2 linked regions of the Macaca mulatta genome follow. The protein of the gene in region 2 interacts with the protein of the main gene of each other region in a pairwise test. Links are inferred from orthologs where the notes say so. Each region holds a gene or a part of one and is shown on either strand. Other genes may lie near its edges.

The links.
Region 1: the proteins of NR1H2 (region 2) and NPY interact in a two-hybrid assay, tested with the Homo sapiens proteins (3 studies listed by BioGRID and IntAct). The link is inferred for Macaca mulatta from reciprocal best matches to the Homo sapiens genes NR1H2 and NPY.

The regions. Positions count from the first base shown.
Region 1 is NC_133408.1:104,094,736-104,101,827, forward strand, and holds the start of NPY (pro-neuropeptide Y precursor), read right to left. Parts: upstream 4,593-7,092; 5' UTR 4,583-4,592; intron 3,614-4,582; coding exon 3,426-3,613; intron 1-3,425. UniProt on the Homo sapiens protein: NPY is implicated in the control of feeding and in secretion of gonadotrophin-release hormone.
Region 2 is NC_133424.1:62,762,645-62,769,793, reverse strand, and holds the start of NR1H2 (oxysterols receptor LXR-beta), read right to left. Parts: upstream 3,799-7,149; 5' UTR 3,654-3,798; exon of another isoform or gene 3,650-3,653; intron 3,512-3,649; 5' UTR 3,404-3,511; exon of another isoform or gene 3,385-3,403; coding exon of another isoform or gene 3,163-3,384; intron 2,638-3,162; coding exon of another isoform or gene 2,619-2,637; coding exon 2,576-2,618; intron 2,491-2,575; coding exon 2,353-2,490; intron 2,067-2,352; coding exon 1,776-2,066; intron 1,693-1,775; coding exon 1,415-1,692; intron 1,210-1,414; coding exon 1,030-1,209; intron 442-1,029; coding exon 342-441; coding exon of another isoform or gene 315-341; intron 1-314. UniProt on the Homo sapiens protein: Nuclear receptor that exhibits a ligand-dependent transcriptional activation activity. Binds preferentially to double-stranded oligonucleotide direct repeats having the consensus half-site sequence 5'-AGGTCA-3' and 4-nt spacing (DR-4).

The sequences.
Region 1 (7,092 bases), on a different chromosome or scaffold from region 2:
CAAATTACTGCTGTTGAAATGTATCCATTCTTCTGGTTACCAACAGACCCTGGGTCTCATGTTTCTCATATTCATTCAAGGTGCCAAATGCTAACGCCTCTCCTGATGTTGTGATTTTAGCCTCCCTGTAAGTCTAAAGGAATCTAACTGGTTCATGGAAATGTTCTTGTTTGTTTGTTTTTTTTCTCCTATAGCAGGATATGGGTGAGACAATACACACAGGTAAGGTTTCGTTTATCTGCGAGGGTAGTATATGCTCCCCACTCCAGGACACTACAAAAGAGTCAGACAAGTCTATACCAAATTGCATCTTTTGAAGAGGCCATTTTTCCCTTTCTCAGAAAAGGTGTTGGACACCAGTTGCCACTTCGTTTAGAAATAAATTAGCCTGGTGTGGATTGGTTAATAGGTCTAACAGCTGAACATAGCTGACAGAGGACATATTCTAATTGCCAAGCAAAATTATATCTCAATTTTTTGGAAAGATTTTCTATTACTGTTCTTTTGCTGAGACTCAAGGGAAGCAAAAACAAAACAAGTCCCTGTCCCACTCCCATCATGTGTAAGATTTCCTCGAAGATTTTCTGGAGTTGAGATATTAGACTACAGGCATCTGCTTATACTATTTATTCTGTCCATCCATTGGTTTTACTAATCGTAAAACTCTAGGGCAACTGTAACTCATTTATCTTCATCATGCTCCAGTGAGTAAAAGAACTGCCAACTGTTTTCTCCAATTTACCAGTAAAGAACCTAAATCTGAAATAGGAGGATTTGCACAGTCATAATCTTGCATCCAGTTCAGCATTGTTCACTCTTCTTCCTTCTTTAATTAATTCTGGATCATCCTTCCTCTCTACAATGCTGTAACTTTCAAAGATTGAGTCCTTAAAGATTCTCAAACCTGGCTGCACATTAGAATCACCTGGGGAGTGTTAAAAACACACTCTAAAGCCCAGGCCCTATGCTAGAGGGTCTGATTTAATTGGTCAGGGGTGGATCCCAGCATCAGTGTACTTTAAAAGCTCCCCTGATTATTTTAATGTGCAGCCAGAAAGGAGAAACACTAATCTAAGGCTGAGTTTCTCCGGGACTGGCTAGTCTTTGTAATGGGGGCTGTCCTGGGCATGGTAGGATATTTAGCAGCCTCCTTGGCATCTATACATCTAGATACCAGCAGCACCCACCTCCCGTTGTGAAAACCAAAAATGTCTCCAGATACTGCCAAATCACACCTGGGGAGCATAAAATCACCCTCAGGTGAGAACCACTGATTTAGGGGGCCATATAAGTAAATTGTAGGAGACCCACACTTTAGAATAAGTAATGCAGCTTCCAGAAGCAATGAGCCAGGGGTATATATACAGCAACAAGAATATAAGCACAAATTGAGTGTAGGGGGAACGGGGGTCAGGGCGGGGAGAAGAAAGATAATGATATCAGATTACATCTATAGTAAATTAAAGTACATCCACAAATGACCCTGTAATTTTCAGAAACACACATAGGAGTGGGTGTCTGTGGTGGGAAGGAGAAGATGGATGTATGTTAAGAGCCTCTGCTAGTTTCTAAGAAGGAGTTTACATGAAGGTGAGACAGGAAACTCTGCCTCAGAGACCAGCTCATTCACATCTAAGCTGAATCTCTTGCCATGAAACCTAAGTCCCTTTCCTTTATGTTTTTTTTTCTCATCAAACATGTTGGAGATAACACCGCCTGTTGATGGTGGTGACAACATCCAAAGAAACTCAAAGGAGGCCCCCAATTCCATAATTCCTATAAAAATAGCTTTCATGAAATGTCCTTAGCTTCATGATTTGTGAAATGGAGATAATTATACTCCCTTCAAAGCTTTGAGGTAAAGACTGAATGAGATAATGCCTAGGAAAATATTTTAAAATGCTAGAGCTTTGTAAAATTGTAAAGCTTTAGAGCAATCATCTTTGGAAAACTGAGTTCTACTGTATATCATGCTATAACTAAATAACTAACAAAGGTTTTTCTAGAAAAAACAGTTAACATATTTTTGTTTGTACAAGTTCTCTTTGATCTGCATGACAGCATAGCATAGCAAGAATTTGAATCAATTAACTTTCTGGGAAGTATGGAATATAAAATATTATTGCTTTTTGCTAATTAAAATGATCAGATTTCAAGGGATCACAAACCAATACTATTTAATTCTGGCATTTTCATGTTTTTCAGATTCTATATAAATTGGAGCTTTTTCAAAAGTTTTTTTAGGATGTTGAATACCTTTTTGATGAAACAGGAAAAAGCAAACTTGATTTTAGAAGTACAGATTCTCCCCCTTTTGGATCCTTTCCAACTACTCCCTGACTTGTAAACAGTAAAAATATGGACTAAATAAATAAATAAACCCCACAATACTTTAAACATATAATTTAAACATGTTAACTAACATTCATGCTTCTAAAGGGCTTATCCTTTAGATATGGTCAAATGATTAAAATAATTTAATCTTAGTAATTAAAATAAGATGTTAAATGATTTAGAGCTAAGATCAACTAATTTTGAAAACGAAATTTAAGTCCTATGTAATTTGTAAAATAGTTTGGATTTGATTTTTCCCTTAATTGTCAATGTTGAGAGTGAAAATGTGGCATTTCATTTTGACTTTCTGAATGTCCAGAATAAAGTTTACAACTTCTCAGATTCCATGTAATCCGTGGATTCATCCTAAAGTTACTGGACCAATGTAAGTTTCTTCTTAATGAAATACCAAGTGGGCACTTTCTTTTCAGAATTCACCAGCTATAAAATAGGGAGAGTCTGCATTTTAGATAAACTGTTTTCAGGCTAAATCTCTAATTACTGGGACTAGGATTTTCAAGTATGAGACTGAGACTGCAAAAAAACACAGTACAGAAGAAAAGAAAATAGCTCTATTTGTCTTTTTCTAAATACTGTCATTCAATTAGCCCTAGGCAGGCTGGAAAGTCTAACAATGTCTGGGGCAACCCTGCAGTTTACTCCTTGGTTTGGTTTTCTTTGGTGGTCGTTCTGTTTTTCCTAGACACCTTGCTAGCCTTTCTCCCTACAGCATTTCTCTGGCGCATTCTTGCCCCTTTCACTGGGTACTTTCGAGATTTCTGAACAGGCCCCCACTGCTGTAAGAACCACAACAAACCACAAGAGGTGAGTGAGAGGAGATTGCCAGCCTACCAGCCTGGGGAACCTGAATCTGGGGATCACGACTCTGTGACTATAGTTGCACAAAATGGAAGGTATCCATTTTGTGCGCAGTGTGCCCCGCACAAACATTTACCTGGAGCTGACTAAGAGCCTGATACTGTCCTGCCCTGGGATAGAGCGAAGGAAAAGAAACGATCCCTTCCCCTAACCAGGATCTCCTGGTGTGCAGGCACTGGCGCTCCTGGAGTCGGTCCCGCGGGCCCACCCACCTCTGCCTGGTGATGAGGTTGATGTAGTGTCGCAGCGCCGAGTAGTATCTGGCCATGTCCTCCGCTGGCGCGTCCTCGCCCGGGTTGTCCGGTTTGGAAGGGTACGCCTCGGCCAGCGCACCCAGGCACACGAGCAGGGACAGGGCGAGGGTCAGTCCGGACAGCCCCAGTCGCTTGCTACCTAGCATCTGCGGGCACAGAAGGCTCAACGGACGGGCTTGGGGATTCAGAGGACCCACGCGCAGCACCTCCCTCCTCTGCCTCCCGCGCTCCTCCTTCTGCTACCACCCGCGACCCCCAATCCGCTCTCGTCCCAGTCCCGCAGAGAGAACCCAGGCGTGGCTAGCACCACCTTGCGGACTCTGGGTGCCGTCTGGCCCGGACCTGCCCCTCTGCTCCACCTGAAAACTTCGCGCAACTTCGTTCCAAGTCTCGGGGACAAGAAGCGCGCGGCGAGAGGTGCAAGGTGGGGGCCCCGCCAGTTTAGACACTTTCAAAATCAAATTGGAAGTTCCTCCTGCTGGATCACTTTTCTCCCCTCTTGCCCAAACTCTTGTCTGGGAGGAAAACTTTCTTCTCTGTTACTTTTGGTCTGCCTAGCTTCAGGGGATCAACGCTGACGGTAGAGATCACCTCAGGGTGATGACTGCTGTGGCGAAGGGGGAAAAGAATTGCTCCCTGGGCCAGAATTGCTCCCAAGAGATTTGGAGCCCAAGAATCCAGGCAGATGGCAGGGCGCGGGGCTCCAGAGCGCCAGGGATTCCTCACTCGATGGCGCTGCCAGGGAAACCTTCCTACCGCGCATCTCTTTCTGGGCCTCAAGGCAGCGACTCGCAGGGAGACCGCCAGCTGCCTTGGGATAGGAGTCCCGGGTTCTCCCTCCATATCTGCCAAAAGGTAACTCAGAAGAACCGCCCAGCGGGAAGGGCCCGGGAGAAGAGCGGTGGACAATCAGAGGGGAGCAGAGGGACAAGTGGAATTTAGCCGCCAAGAGGGCTGGTCCGCGTCGGGGCGCCGAGCCGGCATAGTCCCGGCTGGGGAACGGGGTGCGACCCTCCCGGCGCCCTAGAGCTCCACAGAGCCGGAGGCTGCGCCTCTAGCAAGTTCATGGGCGCCCCTTCGCTCCCACCCCTAGACAAACGGGTCGTAGCACTCACGGTGGCTGGCGCGCGGGCGTGGCTGGGCGGCAAGTTCTCTGCTGTCGGGCGCGCGTCTCCGAGGGGTGAGAGCCAGCAGATGGGGTGCAGAGAGCGGGTCGCAACCGGGCTTTTATGGAGCTTCCTCGCCGCAGCAGGAGGGGCCTCGGGCAATCACGTTTGGGTGACTCCTACCCGCCACTTCCCGCCCCCGAGTGGCGGGGGGAGGGGGCTGAAACCGCAGCCGCACGAGTGTTGGCTTAGGGAGCCACCCACACCCCAACCCTCCCGCCCCAGGCACTGCCGGAAGAAGTGGGGCCCGGGACCGCACGAGGGGGCAGCGCGCTCCGAGCGCGCTGGACAACACCAAAGCCCAAGTGTCTCTCCTCGGGCAGTGCCCGATCCCTGCTTTTCTTCTTTCCTTCACGCCCCGTCTAGTCCTGCCAGAGATAGGAGCAGCCCAGACAATTCTTGTCGCCTGCCAACAGGACTTACCAAGCCACTGGGCGCCGGAGTAGGAAGCATCTGAATGCTCTTTGCGGTGGGACATCTCCAGGACCAGCGCGGCATCCTCACTGGGCACAGCTGCGCGCTTTTGGAGAGAGGCAACTGGGCGCACCGATTTTTCCTGCACTTAGAACAAGTCGGAGGCAGCTGCGGGAAGTCTCCAGCTAGAGGGTCGCAAAGCTGCCCCCCACTCCCGACCCCTCGGCGCGGAGCTGAGAACTGGTTTCATGGGCTTCAGCCCCTTCCCTCAGCTGGTTTTTCTAGGACATCAGCCTTCCTCAAGTACTCTCCCAGACGCAGTGAGCCAGGTTCGGTCTTGACATGAGTGTGGCGACTCAAAATTCCCCAAAGGGGGAACACGGTAAACCTTTTCCCCTAGTTTACTGAAAAAGAGCCACGCTTCCAGCTTCTAGAGACTCTTTTAAGCGCAATTTTTAAAATGGTTTTTTTTTTTTTTTTTTTTTTTTTTTTTTGGTCCAAAGTGACAGTGGTTAAATGAGCAACAGTTTCTCTCTTATTTGCTAACCCTTGTATAGTCCTATGTACATTCAATTAACGTTAATTGAGAATGTGGGTTCTGATTAAGTTGAAACATGTTAAAAACGATGAACATTAATTTGCTCATCGCGTTAAACCTGTTGAATGAATATGCAAGATACAGAAATTGTTATTACAAAATCAAGATTTTATGCAGTGGACTGAGATCTTAAAGTTCCGTGAATGAATGCTCCTGGATCTTTCTAAATAAAATGGCATTTTATTTCTAAATAAAATGAAAGTCTGAATCTTTCTAAATAAAATGGCATGTTGGGAAATTAAAGCATTAAGTTACATGTTACTTTAATGCTAAAAGGACAAGTGATTCTGTTAAGCTGACACTTAGTTTTGTGCTGTTCCAACAGCATTGAATTAAATATCAAAAACTGTGAAGCAAACAATCCTTTGTGTGTATGTGTTTGTGGGATCAAACTATAATTTTGGAGACCAACATCATTTCACTTGACAACTGCTTCTCTTTCTGTATTACACAAACACATGCTGGAAACACAAATATCAAGGCTTTCAGAGTTGCTTCGGGTGCTTACATGACAGAGCCTTTGGTAAAAGTGCAAAACATCTTCTAACTTAGAACCCTTCCTAGATAAAAGGAAAGTTACAGTCCACTTTTCAATAAAATAATATTATTTTAGAGTGTATCACAGATTCATATCAATTAAAATCTGAACTTAAAAGGTATCATTGAATTTGGGAGAAATTACTTCTAGGGAGGCCCACACCACTGTTGAGAGAAGAACACTGTGGAGGCTTGATTAATTTAGCTTAAGATAATGTTGTTGATACTCAAGAATAAGAACTTATTCTCAGGGTTAAGGATTTAGAGAATAAAAAATAGGGGGTGGTATGCCCTACACGTGTGTTTACATCCTTATCTCCTTTCTCTCCAGTCCAAGCCTCATCCCCTGCCCAAAATACAAACAAAATCAACTGTTTGCAACTCAACCCTGCATATTCTCCTAGCTCCTGAGCCATTTCTCTCCTTTGTTTCAAAGTCATTTATTTGTAACAGCTTTGTTAAGATACCATTGAGATACTATGGAGCTTGTTGAGATTCAAAAGGAGGTGAATCAGTGGAGACTAGAAAAGGTAATGATCAAGAGAAGTCAAATAACTTGTAAAGGTCCATGTGGTTTGCAATTAGGAGGTCTTACTGATAGCAAGTTCATAGCTTGATTCCGGTAGAACCCAGACCACATGAAAGCCAGTGGTTTCATGACCAAACCTAAGGTAAAGAAGCAGAGGCAATAAATAGATATCACTGAATATATACAAAGCTACAAATGTGTAAAATATTCAATTGGATATATTCTTACACATATGCATACATGTTATATGCTCAGGAAGCCATCATTGCAACCAAGAAAATGAAGATATGCATCACTTCCCCAAATTTCCACACGTACCTTTGTAATTCCTTCCTTTTGCCTCTTCCTCACCCCTCCTCCATTGATCTGCTTTCTATCACT
Region 2 (7,149 bases):
GTGCTGGGATTACAGGCGTGAGTCACCGTGCTCGGCCAATACATGCTTTTTTTGAAAAAAATAGAGACACGGTCTCTTCTGTCGCTAGGCTGGAGTGCTGTGGCACAATCACAGCTCACTGTAGCCTCAAGCCATCTTCCCTCCTCAGCCTCCTGAGTAGCTGGGCCGACAGGCACACACCACCACGCATGACATACACACTCTTGTCTTGCTCTCACCTTGGCTCAACCCTCACCCCGGCTTTGGAGATAAAGAAACAGACTCTGACAGGGATGAATTGGCCCCAGGTCTTCCAGCTAGCAGGGGGGCCAAGCCTCCCCAAAGCCTCCCCTGGGCCCTACCTGCACGGTGGAAGTCGTCCTTGCTATAGGTGAAGTCCTTCAGGAAGGTGATACACTCTGTCTCGTGGTTGTAGCGCCTGGCTGTCTCCAACAGCATGATCTGAGGGTGGCAGTGGGAGGGGGCTCAAGCCCTGTGACCCTTCGGCTGCTAGTCCCTCCCCTGCTGGCCCAAATGGGGTTCTAATCTCACCAGGAATATCCCTCGTCCCCCGTTCTCTCAGCCACACCAGTGTGCAGCCATCACGTGAGACAGCCCAAGCTCCTTCTTCATTTTGGGCTTTCGCACACGTTGCATCCCCTTCTCCTTAGGATACTCCTTCCCCAGGTGGGCACAAGGTATAGGAGCAGGGGGTTTGATCTGCTTTGTTCTTTGCCATATGCCAACACTTGGTATAGAGCCTAGCATACAGTAGGCGCTCAATACTTGTATGTTATCCCTACTTTGATTCAAACGCTAACTCCTCTGAAAAGCCTTTTTGGCAACTTTTCTCTAAAATAGCCTCTCTGGCCTGATCCTCAATTTTCTCAGCTTCAGACCCTTTTTTCTTTTTCTTCTTGGCTCATAGAAGACTCTATTTGCCATGGAATGTCATCCTACAAGGGCAAGGACTGGTCTTGCTTAAACTCTGCTCCCAGCATCTGTCCTGGAGCTATCTCTGGGGTTTCTTGTGGGCAGACGGACCATTACCTCGATGGTGGACGCTTTCAGGAGGGCGATCTGGTCCTCCCGGCCCAGCTGCAGGAAACCAGGCACTTGCTTGGCAAAGTCCACAATCTCCTGGACTGAGATGATGGCCAGCTCCGTGAAGTGGGCGAAGCGCTGCTGGCGGGCATCTCGGGACTGGGGGTCTGCGCCCAGGGGCCAGGGCTGGGACACAGGAGACCAGGGTCACTCCCAGGTCTTTGTGAGCGTAAGTTGGGGCGGCCACCTTGAGGCCAAGCCTGCACCCTGGGGGACCCTCCTCCCAAAGCCCCTGCCCTCTGGAGCCTCATTCTTCCACACCCTGGGCAATGGCCCAGCCGGCTCTACCCGACTGGGACCATCACACTCAAGGTTGTGGAGGGGGCAGTACCGTGACTTTGGGCTGGTCGGAGAAGGAGCGTTTGTTGCACTGCAGCTGGGCCGCCACCAACTGCTGGATCATTAGTTCTTGAGCCGCTGTTAACTGGACACCCTCGCCTTCCCCGGAGCCCTGGCTGCCTGCCTCAGATCCACCAGGGGATGCCCCAGGCCCAGAGGCTGAGCTGCTGCTGCCCTGCGGCCCCGCAGGCGACTGCGACTGTGACTGTGACTGCTGCTGCTGCTGCTTCCGAATCTTCTTCTTCCGGATCTGTTCTTCAGAGAGGACGCCTGTAGGGGGATGCAGGCCTCAGCAGAACCCCAGGGCTGGGCCAATGGGCCAGGCCGGCACCGCCCCCTCCCACTGCACTCACACTGCTCCCTCATCCCTGCCTCCTTGCACTTGCGCAGCCGGCACTGCTGGCACTTGCGCCGCATGAAAGCGTCCATCTGGCAGGTTCCACCGCCCCGGCAGGCATAGCGCCGGGCCCCGCCACGGACCACACTGCGCCGGAAGAAGCCCTTGCAGCCTTCGCAGCTAAGCACATTGTAGTGGAAGCCGGAGGCCTTGTCCCCGCAGACGCGGCAAAGCTCGTGGCCCAGCATCTTCGGGGCTGGGCCCTTCTTTCGCTTGCGCTCTGGCTCCTCTTCAGGATCTGGGATGACTGGGATGGGTAGGCAGAGGCCATGAGTGAGCCACAGGGAGAAACAGGAACCAGAATGATGTGGCCACAGGAGATCCCCAGGCAAAGCGCCAGAGGATGGAGAGGAGGTGCTGCTCACATTCAGGGATATTGCAATTTAGAAAGATGTATGTATCAAGGAGAAAGCGAGAACAAAAAGCAAAGATCAGGGGCCTCCCATTCCCATCTCCATTTCTTTTTCCCTTCCTAAACCCCTCCCCAAGCCCCCATGTCAACTCCAGAGCCCTGTCTCTGGGCCCTGTCTCACCCCAGTCCACGCTGCAGGCTGAGCCGGCCTCATCAGTGCCTGGGACATCAGGGTCCGGACCCCCGGGCCACGGCTCTGGACCCTCCTCCTTTACAGTGGGTGAAGAAGAAGGGGCGCCAGGCTGAGGGGGGCCATTTCCTGGAAGAGGGTGGAATCCGGGAGGGGTAATAGTGAGCTTCTGCTAGTGTGTGATAAGGGTTGAGTGGGGAAGAGAGTCACTCACCAAGCAGGGGGGTATCCAGGGAACTCGTGGTGGGAGAGGACATGGTGGGGTCACGGAGCAGCCTGTAAAATACAGGGGATTGAGAGCCTTGTGGGGCTAAGAAGGGTTGGGTTAGGTCAGTTACAGGTCCTGACCGGGTTTCCACTTTTACTTCCATCTCTCCAGAGACCCTACTCTCAGCCACAACCCTGGTTCCTGCTGGCCTACAAACCCTCCCCATCCTTCTAACAGGACCCGCCCCCTTCTGTTCCAGCCCAGCCTTCAGCTTGGTCTTAAGCCCCGCCCCTGCTCTAGGCCCCGCCCCCTCAGGTCCAATCCACCTGCTCTTTCTAGGTAGGGCCCATTCTCCTTTAATCATGCTCTGCCTTCACGGTCTCCATCCCATGTAGTTTCCCCCCAACCTCCTCTTCATAAGACCGCCTCACTTCTCCTCCAAGCATCCCAATTTCTCATTCTGACCCCACCTCCTTCTATTATGCTCCGCCTTCAACCTTCCAGGTTCAGCCCCTACAGCCCCCCATCATGGGCCTCCCAACACCTTGCCCCGCCCCATACGCATCCCTCCCTCCAAGCCTCATCCCTAAAACCTCGCTCCAGGTCCCGCCCCATCTCCTCCCATCATGCCCCGCCCCCACCCCGCCTCCTCCCTTCCCGCTGCACCCCTACAACCTCGCTCTAGGCCCCGCCACATCTCCTCCCATCATGCCCCGCCCCCAGCCCCGCCTCCTCCCTTCATGCCCCGCCCCCGCACCGCGCTTCCAGGTCCCGCCCCATCGCCTCCCATTATGCCCCGCCCCCACCTCCTTCATTCATGCTCCGCCCCCGCACCTCGCTCCAGGTCCCGCCCCTCTCCGAGCACCAGCGGGGGGCGGGGCTCATGGCTGCGCGCGGGGGTCTCGTGGACGGCCTCTCGCGGAGTGAACTACTCCTGTTGCCCTGGAAACAGCCGCGGGAGGCGCGAGTTACGGAGGGGAGGAAATGGAAGGAGAGAGGGGGGCTGAGCGGAGTAAGCGGGGAGCGCCGAGAAGCCCCGGGTTCGGGGCTCCTCCCGCATCTCCCCACTCTCGGGTGCACCTGCCTGGGTCCCCTTGCTCCGTTTCTCTTCGTCCTCCTCTTTAGCCCCTGACACACCGCCGCTACTCGAATACCCTCAAAAGTAACTTCGCCACTTCTTCCGGCAACCCCGCCCTTGCGTCACGTCCGGAAAAGAGGCGGAGCGTGAATGTTGACGAACTTCCGGCCCGCTTAGGACCAGCCGAAGCTGCTGCCCCGCACGGAAGTTGGAAACACCGGAAGTTTACCGGGTAGATCTACTGGGACTTGGCAGAAGAGTTCCGAACCCATTTCCTCGCTTCTTGGATGAGAGGGGAAACTGGGAGCCAAACCTCCAGCCCCGCGCTTTGTGGCTTTAGCTCACTGATGCGCTTCTCTGAGCCAGCGGCCAAACCCTAACTATAGCTGCTTGTCGCACATGACTGATTTAAGGCACGTTTGCGCTTTGTTTTCTGATTTTGGACTCCTGCTGCTTGTTGGTTTTATTTTATTCTTATTTATTTATTTGGAGAGGTCTCACTCTGTCACCCCAGGCTGGAATGCAATGGTGCAATCTCAGCTCACTGCAGCCTCCGCCTCCTGGGTTCAAGAGATTCTCGTGCCTCAGCCTCCCAAGTAGCTGGGATTACAGGCATGTACCACCACACCCGGCTCGTTTTCTTGTATTTTTAGTAGAGACGGGGTTTCACCACGTTGGCGAGGCCGGTTTCGAACTCCTGACCTCGAATCCACCCGCCTCGGTTCCCCAGAGTGCTGGGATTACAGGCGTGAGCCACGGCGCCCGGCTTATTTTTACTTTTTTTTTTTTTTTTTTTTTTTTGAGATGGAGTCTCGCTCTGTTGCCCAGGCTGGAGTGCAATGCCGCAATGTCAGCTAACTGCAATCTCCGCCTCCTGGGTTCAAGCGATTCTCCTGCCTCAGTCTCACTTGTAGCTGGGATTACAGGCGCCCGCCACCACGGCCGGCTGATTTTTCTATTTTTAGTAGAGATGGGGTTTCACCATGTTTGCCAGGCTGGTATTGAACTCCTGACCTCAGGTGATCCACCTGCCTCGGTCTCCCAAAGTGTTGGGATTACAGGCGTGAGCCGCTGTGCCCGGCCAGATTTGAGATGTCAGAATTTTCTCATTGTTAAGATTTTTGCAAAAATGGTTTCAATAACTTGGTGATTGGAAGAATTAAAAAAGCTCAGTCTCAGACCGGGCACAGTGGCTCAAACGCCTGTAATCCCAGCACTTTGGGAGGCCGAGGTGGGCGGATCACCTGAGGTTGGGAGTTTGAGACCAGCCTGACCAACATAGAAAAACCCCGTCTCTACTAAAAATACAAAATTAGCCGGGCGTGGTGGCGAGCGCCTGTAATCCCAGCTACTCGGGAGAGGCTGAGGCAGGAGCATCGCTTGAACCGGGAGGTGGAGGTGGAGGTTGCGGTGAGCCGAGATTGCGCCACTGCACTCTAGCCTGGGCAACAAGAGCGAAACTCAGTCTCAAAAATAAAATTGGCCGGGCGCGGTGGCTCACACCTGTAATCCCAGCACTTTGGGAGGCCGAGGCGGGTGGATCACAAGGTCAGGAGATCGAGACCATCCTGGCTAACACGGTGAAACCCCGTCTCTGTTGGAAAAAAAAAAAATTAGCCGGGCGTGGTCACGAGTGCCTGTAGTCCCGGGAGGCTGAGGCAGGAGAATGGCGTGAACCCGGGAGGCGGAGCTGGCAGTGAGCCGAGATCATGCCACTGCAGTACAGCCTGGGTGACAGAGCAAGACACTGTCTCAAAAAATAAAAGAATAATAATAATAATAATAAAATACAATAAAAATAAAGGAATAAAAGAATGGCTCCTCCAGGTAGAGCAGCGGCTTGGGCTGTTCATTGTGATTATACTTACAGTTATTTCTTGATTATATGCTAAACAAGGGGTAGATTATTCATGAGTTTTCCAGGAAAGGGGTAGGCAATTCTCAGAACTGAGGGTTCCTTCCCCTTTTAGACCATATAGGGGAACTTCATGATGTTGCCATGGCATTTGTAAGCTGTCATCGTGTTGGTGGGTGTGACTTTTAGCATGCTAATGCATTATAATTAGTGTATAATGAGCCATGAGGATGGCTAGAGGTCACTCTCATCGCCATCTTGGTTTTGCTGGGATTTGGCTGGCTTCTTTAGTGCATATGCTGTTTTATCAGCAAGCTCTTCGTGACCCGCATCTTGTGCCAACCTCCTATCTCATCCTGTGACTAAGAATGCCTTAACCTCCTGGGAATGCAGCCCAGTAGGTCTCAGCCTTATTTTACCAAGCTCCTATTCAAGACGGAATCTCTGTGGTTGGAATGCCTCTGACATATGTGTATGCCTTTAAAAAAAAAAAAAAGAAATGGGACTATGTGATCCATGCTCTTTTGTAACTTATTTTGTCTACTCAGGCCCATCCTTTGAGATTGTGGAATTTTCCACCCAGGGATGTTAGAAGCAAAACAAGTGGTTAATATGAGCATTGGAGACGGCAGAACCTGGCGTCTCTGTCCCTTCCTTCCTGTGTAACACTGAGCCCAGTTCATTAACCTCCCCGCTCCTCAGTTTCCTTGCCTGTAAATTGCAAACGAGTGAGACAGCTGGTCGTGGTGGCTCATGCCTGTGATCCCAGCACTTCGGGAGGCCAAGGCGGGTGGATCACCTGAGATCAGGAGTTCGAGACTAGCCTGACCAACTTGGTGAAACCCCATCTCTACTAAAAATATAAAATTAACCGGGCGTGGTGGCGGGCACCTGTAATCCCAGCTACACGGGAGGCTGAGGCAGGAGAATTGAACCGGGGAGGCAGAGGTTGCAGTGAGCCAAGATCGTGCACTTGCACCCTACCCTGGGCAACAGGAGCGAAACTCCATCATAAAAATAAAAATACAAGTACAAATAAAATAAAAGACAGGAGGCCAGGCGCAGTGGCTCACACCTGTAATCCTAGCACTTTGGGAGGCCGAGGTGGGCGGATCACGAGGTCAAGAGATTGAGACCATCCTGGCCAACATGGTGAAACCCCGTCTCAACTAAAAATACAAAAATTAGCCGGGTGTGGTGGCAGGTGCCTGTAGTCCCAGCTACTCGGGAGGCTGAGGCAGGAGAATCGCTTGAACCAAGGAGTCGGAGGTTGCAGTGAGCTGAGATCACACCACTGCAACTGCACTCCAGCCTAACGACAGGGTGAGACTCTATCTCAAAAAAAAAAAAAAAAAAAAATGTGAGACAGGAATAACACAGGCTGGTTACGGGAGAATAGGAAATTCCAGGCAGCAGTTTCACATGACTAGCAAAAGGAAACTGTTGACATAGTTGCAGCAAGTAGGGGCTGATAAGACTCTTGAAAACCCTAGGTGCGGACCAACCTGGCTAAGACATGCTGGATCCAACAAGGCCCTACATATGATCTAGGTCTCACCTAGGACCTCATTATATGCTCATTAACATAAACACACACCCATCAGCACCAGGACAGTTACAGGAACACCCATAGTTGGTGTAAAACTG